2 linked regions of the Caenorhabditis elegans genome follow. The protein of the gene in region 2 purifies or fractionates together with the protein of the main gene of each other region. This does not show direct contact. Each region holds a gene or a part of one and is shown on either strand. Other genes may lie near its edges.

Region 1 (7,664 bases), on a different chromosome or scaffold from region 2:
TCAATTTATTCCAGGTGGCGCTGTAAAAATGGGAGTCCTCCACTCATCAGGAAAACTAATTCTCTTCGCAGATGCCGATGGAGCTACAAAATTCGCCGATTTTGAAAATCTCGAGAAAGAAATGCTCCGAACTGCCGGCGGAGAGCCACTTGATGAATCATTTCCAGCAGTTATTGTTGCTTCTAGGTTTTTAATTGATTTTTATAGAAATTTTTAATAATTTTCCCATTTTCAGAGCGCATTTGGAAGCCGAATCTATGGCTGTTAGATCAGTTCCACGCACAATTTTAATGCTCGGTTTTCACTTACTCGTCTATACTTTTGCTGCAAGAACAATTAAAGATACACAGTGTGGATTCAAACTTTTTACTAGATCGATTGCTGCGAGGGTGAGATTTTAGCTTATTTTTAGCTAAAAATCTCCAATTTTGGCCTACTTTTTGGGGTCGTAGTGGTCGGAAATCGACTATTATATATATATATATATGTTCGAATTTTTTTTTCTTTTTGGGAGAAAATGTTTAAAAAATTGGCAGACTTTTTTGTCGACAAATTCGGCAAGTCGGCAAGTTGCCGGTTTGCCGATTTGCCGGAAATTTTAAATTCTCGAAAATTGCCGGATTCCAATTTGCCGCAAGTTTTTACAGGGATTTTTCTTAACCTCTGAAATTTCCAAAAATGTGCAAAACCACAATTTGCCGAAAATTTTCGGCAATTGCCGTGTTTCAGGCGAATTCGTCAAATCGACAATTTGTCGGTTTGCCATTTTTCCTGAAATTTTAAATTCAGCAAAATTGCCGATTTGCCGGAAATTTCAATTCCGGCAATTTGCCGATTTGCCGGAAATTTTCAATTCCGGAAGTTTGCCGATTTGCCGGAAATTTTCAATTCCGGCAATTTGCCGATTTGCCAGAAATTTTCAATTCCGGCAATTTGCTGATTTGCCGGAAATTTTCAATTCCGGAAGTTTGCCGATTTGCCGGAAATTTTCAATTCCGGAAATTTGCCGATTTGTCGATTTGCCGGAAATTTTCAATAACGGCAATTTGTCAATTTACCGGATATTTCAATTCCGGCAAATTGCTGATTTTCCTGAAATTTTCAATTCCGGCAAATTGCCGATTTGCCGAAAATTTTCAATTCCTGATTTAAGATTTTAGCTAAAATTCGTCAAATTAAAGTAAAAAAAACCAAAAAAAAAAAACGTTTTTTTTTCAGATTTTCCCAGTACTTCACATTGAGCGCTGGGCTTTTGACGTTGAGCTCATCTTCCTTTGCGAAAGATGGACGGTCCCTGTGAAAGAAGTTTCAGTTCGATGGACTGAAATCGAAGGGTCTAAGATTACTCCAATTTGGTCTTGGCTTCAAATGGGCCGAGATCTTGTGCTCATTTGGTTCAGATATACGGTAAAATTGCAGTTTTTTAGGCCTTTTTTGAAGTGGTGTCAGGATGTCCCATCGCTCTACTGCACACGAAAATGGCGGGAAAATATTTTTTTTTTAATTTGTGACGTCACAGCGTATCTTGAATAATTTTCTTAATTTTAAGCGCCGATTTTTGTCAAACTTAAAAAAAAAATAAATAAATAATATCTTTCTCATTTTAATTTATAAAATTTGATATTTTACCAAAATTCTTAAAATTTAGTGGAAAAATTGAAGCAAAATACACAATAAAAATGAATAATTTCAATTGAAACGAATTTTTTTTTTCGAAAAACCATTTAAACCGTTCATTTACCAAGTTTCCGTGAATTTTTTAAAAATGATTTTCCAAATAAATTTTTGTTTAAATTGAAATTATTCATTTTTATTGTATTTTGCTTCAATTTCTCCACTAAATTTTAGAATTTTTGTAAAATATCAAATTTTATAAATTAAAATGAGCCAGTTTTTAAAAAAATTTCACGAAAATCGGCGCTTAAATTGAACAAAAGCAATTATTCAAAATGCGCTGTGTGACGTCACAAATTTTCAAAAAATATTTTCCCGCCATTTTCGTGTGCGGTAGAGCGACCTGACAATATTTTTGACATTAAAATTTTATTTTCAGATCGGAATTTGGACGGATGACCAGCCTCGCTAAATGCTCCACAAAAAATCGATACGAGATTTTCAAAAAATCTTGCCCAAAAATTTCCTTTTTCTTCTAGTAATATCTATGCTTTAATCACTTTTTTTCCCTGCTTTTTCCTGATTTTTTTTCCAATTTATGGCTGGTTGTAAATATCCATGATTCCTTGAAAATGTGATTCTATTCTTTTTTCTTTTCGCATTTTTATTATTTATTTATTTACTTGTTGGTTTTTCTTTTTTTTCTCTCTTGTTCTGGGGACTCTGGGTTTATTTTTAATGCTAAATTCAAAAAAATATCGATTTAAATGTTTTTTTCCATTTTTTTGTTTTTTTTTTCGTTTTCCCAGCGATTTTATATCTTTCCATAGAGTTTTCAGGCGAAAAAAATCAAAAAATTTCCAGGCAAAAATGGTCAAAAAAGCGGCGGCAACTAGCAAGCAGGCTACCTATCACAGTGATGAGATCGAGATGAAAGAGGAAGTTGTGCTCAATGTAGGATTTTTTGAATATTTCAAGGATGCAATCGCGCTCCATTGGGAAACGAGAGCGCTCCGCCCCCAAACGTTGGGTCTCGTTAGGAAATCAGGCGGCAAAAGCATTTTCCGTATTTTTTTAAAATTTCGTCCAGAAAAATTTTAAAAAATTCCAATTTTTTATTGAAAATCGTTATTTTTCCGAAAAAAATTGTTATACAAATTTACGAAAAAAGGCGGCGATTTATCAACTGCCGGAAATTAGTGAAAGATTACTTTTTTTCAAAAAAAATTGAAAAAATTTAAAATTGTGAGATAAACCAAGAAAAAATTAACTTTCGATTTTTTCAACTTTTTGGAAAAAAAAAACACAAACCAAAGAAAAAATGAACAAAAAAAAAGCGGATTGCGTGTATTTTTCACCACGCGTAACGTCGTTGTCGCGATGTCCTCCGGACCGAAGAGCAAGAAGCTAAAAACGCCCACGCTTGAACAGCAAATCGAAGATGGAGTCAATGCTTATATTCACTCGCAGCAGTTTGAGTTCAACTCTCCACCACGGGAAAATTTTTTTGCCAATTTTTTCGTCTCAAAAAAAAAAGGAAAAAAAAACCAAAAAACCGACATTTCTGGTCAATATTTTTTTTTGTTTTTTTTTTTTGAAGAAATTCGATTTTTTGCTTTTCGGCCGAAATTTTTATTTTTTTAAATTTTCCAAAAATTCTTCTTCAATTCCAGACCTACGACGAATGCACCGATTATGTCGAATACGACGATACAAAACAATTCGATATCAACGAGTATTGCGATCAAATCCAAGTGGCAATGGTCAATGAATCCGACGATGGAATGACATTGGAATTTGATATTACTCGCATTGAAGCTCCAATTGCAAATGCTCTTCGCCGTGTGCTCATCGCCGAAGTGCCAACGATGGCTCTCGAGAAGATTTATCTCTATCAGAATACTTCTGTAATTCAAGATGAAGTACTCTGCCATCGTTTGGGTCTTCTGCCGCTTCGTGTGGATCCACGTGGATTTCAGTTTCCAAAGGAAAAAGTCGTTGGAATCAATGAGAAGGGAGTGGATTGTGACGAGGAGCCCGAGGGAGATCCCGCGAAAAATTTGATCTTCAAGATTAATGTTTCGTGTACGAAGAATCGAAATGCGGTGCCGACGGCTACCGATCCGAAGCAGCTTTATCACAATAGCTCGGTCTACTCACGTGCTTTTGAATGGGTACCGATTGCTGATCAGAAGACGCAATTCACCGAAGAAGCCCATCCACGTATGGTTTCTGATGATATTCTCGTTGCCAAGCTTCGTCCTGGACAGGAAATTGAAGCCAGTTGCCATGCGGTCAAGGGAATCGGACGGGATCATGCAAAGTTCTCACCGGTTGCTACTGCGTCCTATAGGTGTGAATTTTGAAGCTGCTGAAATATTTTCTTTTGATTTTTGCGGTTTTCCGGAAAATTGAAAATTTTTCGTTTTTCGATTTTCTCGGAAAAAGTGAAAAATTGGGGGGAAAAAAATTATAATTCATATAATATATTTTCGGTTTTACGGGACCCCAAATTCTGAGAATGCGTATTACACAAAATTTTTGACGCGCAAAATATCTCGTAGCGAAAACTACAGTAATTCTTTAAATGACTACTGTAGCTTTTAAAGAGTTACTGTAGTTTTCGCTACGAGATATTTTGGGGAAGTTAAATAATTTTTGTACATCTACCTATATTCAGTATATTTAGACTGTTTTCTGTAATTTTGTGGAAAAAAAAGTTCGAAAATTTCAAGCCAGAGGTGAATTTTTTTGTCGACAAATTTGACAAATTGCCAATTTTTTTTTATTTTCGGCAATTTTCATTTTCGGCGATTTGCCGGAAATTTTCATTTTCGGCGATTTGCTGGAAATTTTCATTTTCAGCAATTTGCCGATTTGTCGATTTGCCGGAAATTTTCATTTTCGGCGATTTGCTGGAAATTTTCATTTTCAGCAATTTGCCGATTTGTCGATTTGCCGGAAATTTTCATTTTCGGCGATTTGCTGGAAATTTTCATTTTCAGCAATTTGCCGATTTGTCGATTTGCCGGAAATTTTCTTTTTCGGCAATTTGCCAGTTTGACGATTTGCCGGAAACTTCGATTTCGGTTAATTGCCGGTTTACCGATTTGCCGGAATTTTCATTTTCTGCAATTTGCCGGTTTACCGATTTGCCGGAATTTTCATTTTTGACAAATTGACGATTTGCCGGTTTGCCGGAAATTTTCATAGAATTTGCCTACTTTTCAAAATACATGTAGGAACATTTATAGGATGCGTACAATTTAGCCGATTGAAATTGAAAATCTGAAATTTCCAAAAAAAATGTGCAAAAACACAATTTGCCGGTTTGCCGGTTTGCCAATTTGACCTTCAAATTCTTCCAATTTTTCAAAAAATTTCTTTTCATTCCAGACTGCTTCCAACGATCCGCTTGAACGCCGAAATTTCGGGTGAAGCTGCCGAACGTCTCAAATCAGTATTCAGCGAGGGAGTTATTGCTATCGAGAAGAAAGGAGGTAGATCATAAATCAATTTTTAGGAAACACACCAATTTTTTTAAAATTTCAGCCAAACGAATTGCTGTTGTCAAGGATGCTCGCAAGGATACGTGCAGTCGTAACGTGTTCCGCCACGAAGATCTGTCGAAAGTTGTTCAATTGGGAAAGAACAAACAGCATTTCATTTGTTAGTGGCAGGGCTGAATTCGAAAAAAAAAACTGAAATTCATGAATTTTTCGCATTTTTTTGGTTTTTTTTCCAAAAAAAAATACACGAAAAGTTGTCGAAAAACAAACCCCAATTTTGTTAAAGTTTGAAACCTTATTTTGAAAATTTTAAATATTTTTGCCAAATTTTAACTCTTTTTTTTAATTTTGAGAGTGGTTTTTTTGGAAAATGTATAAGTAATTTTTTTTGGAGCCGGAGTTTTTATATATTTTTTTTCGCTTTTTTTTTCGAAAAAAAAAGAATTTTCGCCAGAAACATGGTACAGACGTGCCGTTTTTCGATTTTTTTTTTGAAAAAATTTTTAAAACGAAAAGTTGAAAAATTGGAAATTGGGAAAAGAAAATTTTTGAGTTTTCGAACTTAAAAAAAACGAAAAAATTTTTAAAAAAAATGTTCAGAAAATTAAAATTGAGCAGAAACTGGGGAAAATTCGAAAAATTCTGAAAAATTCACAAAAAAAACCCATTTTTTCGAACTTTTTTCCGATAAAATTACAAAAATCCTAAATTTTCTACTTTTCAAGGGCCCGAATTTTTGTGGAAAATTAGTAAAAATCGGTTAAAATTAACCATTAAATATGATTTTTTCTAATGGGGTTATTCAAGTAATGTAGCAATTTTTTTTTTTTTTCGCAAAAATTTTTTTACACTTTTTAATTTTCCGACACTACTTGAATAACCCCATAAATCAATTTTATCGAAACTGATGAGAAAAAAAAATTTAACGAAAAAAAAACACAAAATTTCGTCGTCAGAAATTTTTCGATTTTTCCCAAGTTTTCTAATTTTTTTGGTTGAGAAAGTCGATTTTTTTTAAATATAAAAAAAAAACCGAAAAAAACGTAGGAAAAAAGAGGGAAAAACTATAAACTTATTTAAAAATAAATTATATTTCAATGAGAAAAATGAAAATTTCTTCAAAAATACAAAAAAAAACCAAAAAACCATTTAAAAAAATTGCCAAAATTTCAAATTTCTTTTTTTTTAAACTGAAAAAAAAACACACAAAAAATTTTTCACAATTTTTACCGGCAAATTCGGCAAATTGGCAATTTGCCGGTTTGCCGATTTGCCGGAAATTTTGAATTCCGGCAATTTTAGTTTTTTTTTCAGTCAGTGTAGAGTCGACTGGAGCTCTGAAATCGTCTGAATTGGTGGTTGAAGCCTGTAAAGTCATGGAAATCAAGTGTCGTTCTCTTCGCAAACAAATCGAGGCTCTTATTCAATAATCCCCGTTTTTTTGAAATTTTGTTACTATTTTTTTATTCGTTATCCTTTTTTTTTGTTGTTGTTTGACTACCCCTCAAGTTGTTACACTGTTCCGTCACTTTCTTTTTTCTTAATTTGAATGAATTTTCGTGGCTTTTTTACCTTCAAATATCTCCTAGTTGGCCAAATGGTTGAAATTTCCATTTTTTATTTGTTTTTTTTGTAGTTTTTTAACAGGTTCATAGAAAAATCATTCATTTTTTCGGTTTTTTCAGAAAAAAATTATTAAAAAATGGAAAAACTCCAAAATTTTGAGCTATTTTCTCAAAATATTGGAAAACGAATTCTTTTCGATTTTCAGAAAAATTAGAAACAAAACTTTAAAAATCATCAATTTTTGTCTATCCTGATGAAAAAATATAATTTTCTTCAAAAAATTAAAAAAAAAAACCAAAATTTGAATAAAAAATTGTAAAACTAACATTTTCGGTTTTCCGGAAAATCGAAAAAGCGAAAAATCTTTTCTTTGCAGAAAAAAAGAAAAATCAATTTTGTTCTAAAAAATATCCTTTTTCGAAATACTGGAAAAACGGGGCAGTTTTCGAATTTTTTTCAGAAAATTGAAAAAAAAACGATTGTTTTTAGAAAACTAGCAAAAATTCAATATTTTGTCGAATTATATAATTTCTAAAAAATACCAAAATTTTAAGTAATTTTTTTTAAAACAATTTTTTTAATATCGAAAAAATAAAAATTTATTAGATTAGATTTTTTTTCGGAGAGAAAAAAGAAGAAAATTAACAAAAAAAATGGATAAGATTATTTTTCCAAATTTTTTTTATTTTCAGAACAATTTTCAAATAACTTTTGAAAAATAAAAAATTTTCGATTATGTTGATAAAAAAATATAACTTTCTTTTAAAAAAAATTAATAAAAAAACCAAAAAAAAATCGAAAAATCTTTTTAAAAATTTATCAAATTGTTGTTCTAAAAAATGTTTTTTTTTTCAGAAAAATCAGAAAATCCAATATTTCATCAAATTTTATAATTTCTAAAAATTGCCAAAATTTCCAGCAAATTCTTGAAAAATCAATTTTTTATACCAAAAAAAAACGAAAATTTTTCGATTT
Region 2 (4,985 bases):
GAATAAAATTTTCAAAAGAGACAGTTCACCTTTAAATTTTCAATTAAAACCCCCAACATTTTGAGACTAAACAATTTTCAGTGGAGAATTGCATCTCACTGCCACCGATAATTGTACATTTGATTGTCAACAAAAGTCTCTTGGTAAAGATGATTTCACAAAAATTCCGAATGGAGTAAACGGAGTTGAAGACAGAATGTCAGTTGTTTGGGATAAAGGAGTTCATGCTGGAATCATTGATCCTATGAGATTTGTGGCAGTCACTTCTACAATGGCTGCTAAGATCTTCAATTGTTACCCACAGAAGGGAAGAATCGCAGTTGGCTCCGACGCGGATATTGTGATTTGGAATGCGAATGCAACTAGAACTATTTCAAAAGATACACATCATCATGTGAGTTTTAGGTTTTAGTAAATTCAATTTTAATGCAAAAAATTCAAGGCGATTGACTTCAATATTTTCGAAGGAATGCAAGTACACGGAGTTCCAGAAATCACAATTTCCCGAGGACGTACTGTTTGGGCAAATGGTCAACTGAAAACTGTTCAAGGTTCAGGACAATTCATTCCTTTGGCTCCAGACTCTCAAATCGTCTTCTCAGCTGTTGACAATCGTAAGAAGGCTATGGAACCTGTGAAAATAGACCGAATTCCATATGAGCCATCGGCACTGCAGACACCTGATGCCAATGCGAACATCGTTGTGAAAGCTCCAGTCAGGGCAGCAATTCCTCCAGGAGGAGCTAGCAGCATTCAGTTTTAAATCTACTTGTAAATAATTGTTTTTTTTTTATTTTTAAAAATTCAATAAAAAAATCACTTCCAAAAAGTAACAATGCATCAAAAATTGAAATTATAACAAAAACATAACAAATCAAGCAACAATGATATTCAGATTAATTTTTCTTTCCTGCTTTTCTTTTCAGGCCGCCGACCATTCTCTTCTTTCCGACTCCTTTAGCTTTCAAAAGTGGGCGCCCTTTCTTCACTTTAGGAACTGCTGTTTTCTTTCCATTTCCTTTTTTAACTTCAGCGATTTCGTCATCTGGAACATCATCTCCGTTCTCCTGCCGTGCAGCTTCGGCAGCCTCACGAGCTCGCTTTTTGATTTGGCTTTAAAAAATTTTTATTTTTAAAGTTTTTACATTTCACGATAAATCTAACAATAAATTCGTCAGCTTAATACGCCTATAAGTGTACCTTTTAACTTTTCTGGACGACTTTCTCTCTTGCTTGAAGCTGTTGGCCAACACAATGGCCTTCTTCTCGGCTTCTTCATAATCATGTCTTGTCAACCTCTCCTTTGGAACTGGGGTCTCGAAATGTAATGGATCTTGTCCACGAGAACTCTTATCGAACTTCTTAACAAGATCATAGATCTTCTTTCTTCTCTTAGCATTTAAATGTTCTTGCTTTCCCACTTCAAATAGCAACGCTCCGATTTCCTTGTAACTGAATTCAATTCCACCTTGATCCATCTCTTCTCCTTCTTCAACAGCGGTGATCAAATCACTTTTCTGCTGGAGAATAGTTTTGAAAATTTCTTCATAAAGTGATGTGAACAAATATTCACTGATGTCTTTGTTTCCGAGAAGTTCAATGTATGGCTTGAGACAGGCCGTCACTTGCTTCTTGGTTAATCCTCCGGCTGCATCAAGTTCGTCGAGAAGAATCGAGGCAAAATGGAACTTTAGAGCTTCGTTGAAGGACTTATCTGAAAATTAATCGAAATATAATGAGAATAAAATTAACAAATCTACTAACCTGTGGAGATAGTAGTTTCCTGGAAAACTTTCCAGTATTCGTCACGGATATCCTTTTTCCATTTTAATTCGGCAAGATGAGTGAAGCAAGCTCGAACCATACGACGAACTTCCTAAAATACAACGACATTTTAGACGAAGGAATATTACAAATTTACCATCAAGAATTTATCCATGCGCCATCGATCGATATGAGGCCACTCTTTGGAAAGACTTTTCAGAAAGCACGCAACAAAGCGTACTTTTTCTTCCTCCGATGTGAAAATATTAATAAGTCCTCCAATTCTGTCAGCCAGCTCTTCCTGAAGAATCATTTTGTCTTGCATCCACATCACATAGTGAAGGCCCTTGCATAAGCGCATCAAGTCAGCATCATCGAAATCTGAATATAAACTTTTAACAATTATATGTAAGTTGGAAAATAACTCACGTTTCTTTGCGGACTGATCACGAATCCAATCGTGAAGAACGCGAAGAGCTCTTTGACGCGTAGCTGGCTCTCCGCAAGCGAGTTTCTGAGCGAAAACTACTTCGACGCTTGCCAAGTCGACATCCATTATTGGAATTCTAAAAAATAAGTAATATTTGAACTGTCTTAAAATAGAAAAGTAACAAATTTTGAAAAATCCATTTGAATAAACTGTATTGGCTTCAACAAGTATTCCAATACTGTTTTTTGAACAGAACCCCGTTTTTACTTGATTTACGGATGAAAGTAATTGTAAAATGGTGAAAAATTATTTTTATAATTTTTTTACAATGAAAGTTTTATAAAATATTGGAAAATCATTACGGAAATACAGAAATTGGAAATAAAAATTGAATGAATAAAAAAAGAATTAGAGGATGCAGTGCACTGGGGCGCACTTGCCTCCTGTGGAGAGAGCATGTGGGACGTAGAGTCGCAGAGTGAACTTGCCTAACTTTTTGGAAACTGCCAAAGAACATCTTATACATTTTCAAAAAATGTCGGTCTTTGAAAAATTAAATAATTTTCATTCGAGAGTTTCGAATCATGTATAAACAGCGATGATGCATGCATGTAAATTATCGGGGAGAGTGCCCGACAACCTCAATAAGGTTTTGAAACTATGTTGGTTCAGAAGAACATGCTTCCTAGAAGTGAAATCTTTGAATATATTAAAATTCGGATGAATTCTCAGTGAAACATATTCATATTTTTCGTTATTCCTCAACACCGAGAATCACTTCTCTCGTCATTCAAATCCCGCTTTTCAGAGTCACAATGAATTGCCGCAATTGTTTTTGCATCAGAAGTAGCTGTCCTCTCTCTCTCTCTCCCTATTTCTTTCATTCTCTTTTCCTTTTTACGCAACAAGATCGTCCTCTATTTATGCATTTATATCAGAAATGAACACGAAAAGAGAAATAGAGAGAAAGACAGTATCTGCTTCTTGGCTTTTCTCCAGCTTATTTTCTCAGAGGATGCAAAAAAGTGGGAGGAGCGTGGTTTTTGTTCAGGAAACGATAACATTCGCCTCCCACCATCCTCTTGCCAACCACCAATTCTTTTAAGATTTTCAGTTTCTACTACATATCTCTAATTCTCCAAATTTTAGATGACAATTTTATTATTGTTTACTGTATTTTTTGGGTTTATACCCTTTACAGGTATTTTGAATTCTAAAAAAGCAACTAGAATAATCGTTGAAAATTTAAGAAGTTGAAGCATGTATGCCTGGATACGAAGCTGAAAGAGATCGATTAAGGGAACATTTAGGAATTGAATGGATCCAAAATGGACTCTCAAAATCAGGTAGGATTTTTGAAAAGGCTGTACTTTTTGGTATGTCGTTAGCTCAAGAAAACATGAATTTAGGCGATAGTGAATCCTGTGTTTATTTTCAGAAATTTCAAATTTCAAAGGGTAAATAAATAAGTACAATCGTGGCGAGGCGCAATTAGAAAATAAGTGTGTGCCTTTAAATTTACGTTTTACTAATTTACGATAGATATATGAGAAAGTTAACTGTGGTTGAGATGAGAAACAAATTGGAGCTTTTCTATGTGTTTCTCTGTTTTAGTTGTGCGGAAATTGGTTTGGATTTTTAAGCCTATCCCAGCTTAAATTTAAAACTAAGACTTCTATAGTACCTGCCTGCTTTAGAGCAGCCAGCCTACTAAATCATAAAACCAAAAAAAATCACGAAGACTTTGCCAACTTCTAATGTTTTTGTCCTACTTTTGTAGCAAGTTCAATAGACACGAGTAAAACAGTCAAAGGAAAATTCCAAGTAGGCACAAGTTAAGGCACAAGGCAGGCATAGGTGGCGTGAAAAGTAACTATGCAGGTATTTTTTTACCACGAGAATTTCAAGATTATTAATTAAAGTGTAGTCTATTTTTCTCTATGAGCGGAAAGCTTCAAGCAGGAAATGGAGTTTTTTAGTGAGCACATCGTGTTCTACAATTGATTTTTTTTAACTAGTGTTCCATCGTACTAATTCACACTGATCGTTCTTCACAAATGCTTATAGATTGTATACTTATGTCTTTCTTTTCTTTGACTCATACCGTCCTGATCCGTCGATTCTCCTTTGGTAAGCTTTCTTTTTTCTGATATTTCAGCTAGTGCGATGGCGTAACATCTGCATTTCGGATGATATAACGTTGATATGGATTACGAGGCTAGGAAACCAAAAAAACGTGTTTATTCAAGGATAATCATTATCACTTTGTTAGGCAAGGACAGTTGGCACGATGATCATTGAGATTTTTGAGAAGAATTGTAGAGTCATGTGAACATATCGAACATTCCTAGTACCTGTTCACAGTTGTGAGATTGCTTAAAAATTACACGTATCAGTTTGAAATTTCAAGAACAGTTTAAGGGTTTTCATTCTTCTTATAGGCAATTTAGACTAGAACTACAACAGAGATCAATCGAAATTCTCTATAATTATATTATGGTGACCAACAGAGATGCGATGCACATTTTTCTGAACTTCCGGGAAATTAAAAATTACCATTTTTCAATAAAAAATAGAAAAGTATTCCAATATTTTTTGACTTTTTAAAACTTTCAGTCAATGTTTTTGCAAATTGTCAAACTTACCAAAACAGTTCTGTTTGAGAAGTTCAGTGCAACGCATTGAAATTTTTGGAGCGTAATTAAAATTTAAAATCTTTAGAAAAAATATATTTTATGATCTTTCATAATGTTAACTTCTGAAAACTAAATAATCCTCAATTGAGTGTTAG

Evidence for each region. Proteins that work in one complex are often made in the same cells at the same time.
Region 1: the proteins of rrp-1 (region 2) and rpac-40 fractionate together in Caenorhabditis elegans (co-fractionation; one large-scale study listed by BioGRID). This does not show direct contact.

The regions. Positions count from the first base shown.
Region 1 is NC_003283.11:4,197,007-4,204,670, forward strand, and holds rpac-40 (DNA-directed RNA polymerases I and III subunit RPAC1), read left to right. Parts: upstream 1-2,478; 5' UTR 2,479-2,484; coding exon 2,485-2,568; intron 2,569-3,287; coding exon 3,288-3,967; intron 3,968-5,010; coding exon 5,011-5,114; intron 5,115-5,166; coding exon 5,167-5,283; intron 5,284-6,437; coding exon 6,438-6,553; 3' UTR 6,554-6,690; downstream 6,691-7,664. Other genes in the region: algn-5 (dolichyl-phosphate beta-glucosyltransferase), read left to right, coding at 15-186, 236-389, 1,219-1,407, 2,054-2,086.
Region 2 is NC_003282.8:9,979,947-9,984,931, forward strand, and holds rrp-1 (Ribosomal RNA processing protein 1 homolog), read right to left. Parts: upstream 2,331-4,985; 5' UTR 2,321-2,330; coding exon 2,194-2,320; intron 2,146-2,193; coding exon 1,922-2,145; intron 1,877-1,921; coding exon 1,765-1,876; intron 1,715-1,764; coding exon 1,201-1,714; intron 1,114-1,200; coding exon 897-1,113; 3' UTR 788-896; downstream 1-787. Other genes in the region: dhp-2 (Dihydropyrimidinase 2), read left to right, coding at 82-394, 443-763; mam-2 (MAM domain-containing protein), read left to right, coding at 3,344-3,395, 3,445-3,540. UniProt on the Caenorhabditis elegans protein: May be involved in the generation of 28S rRNA.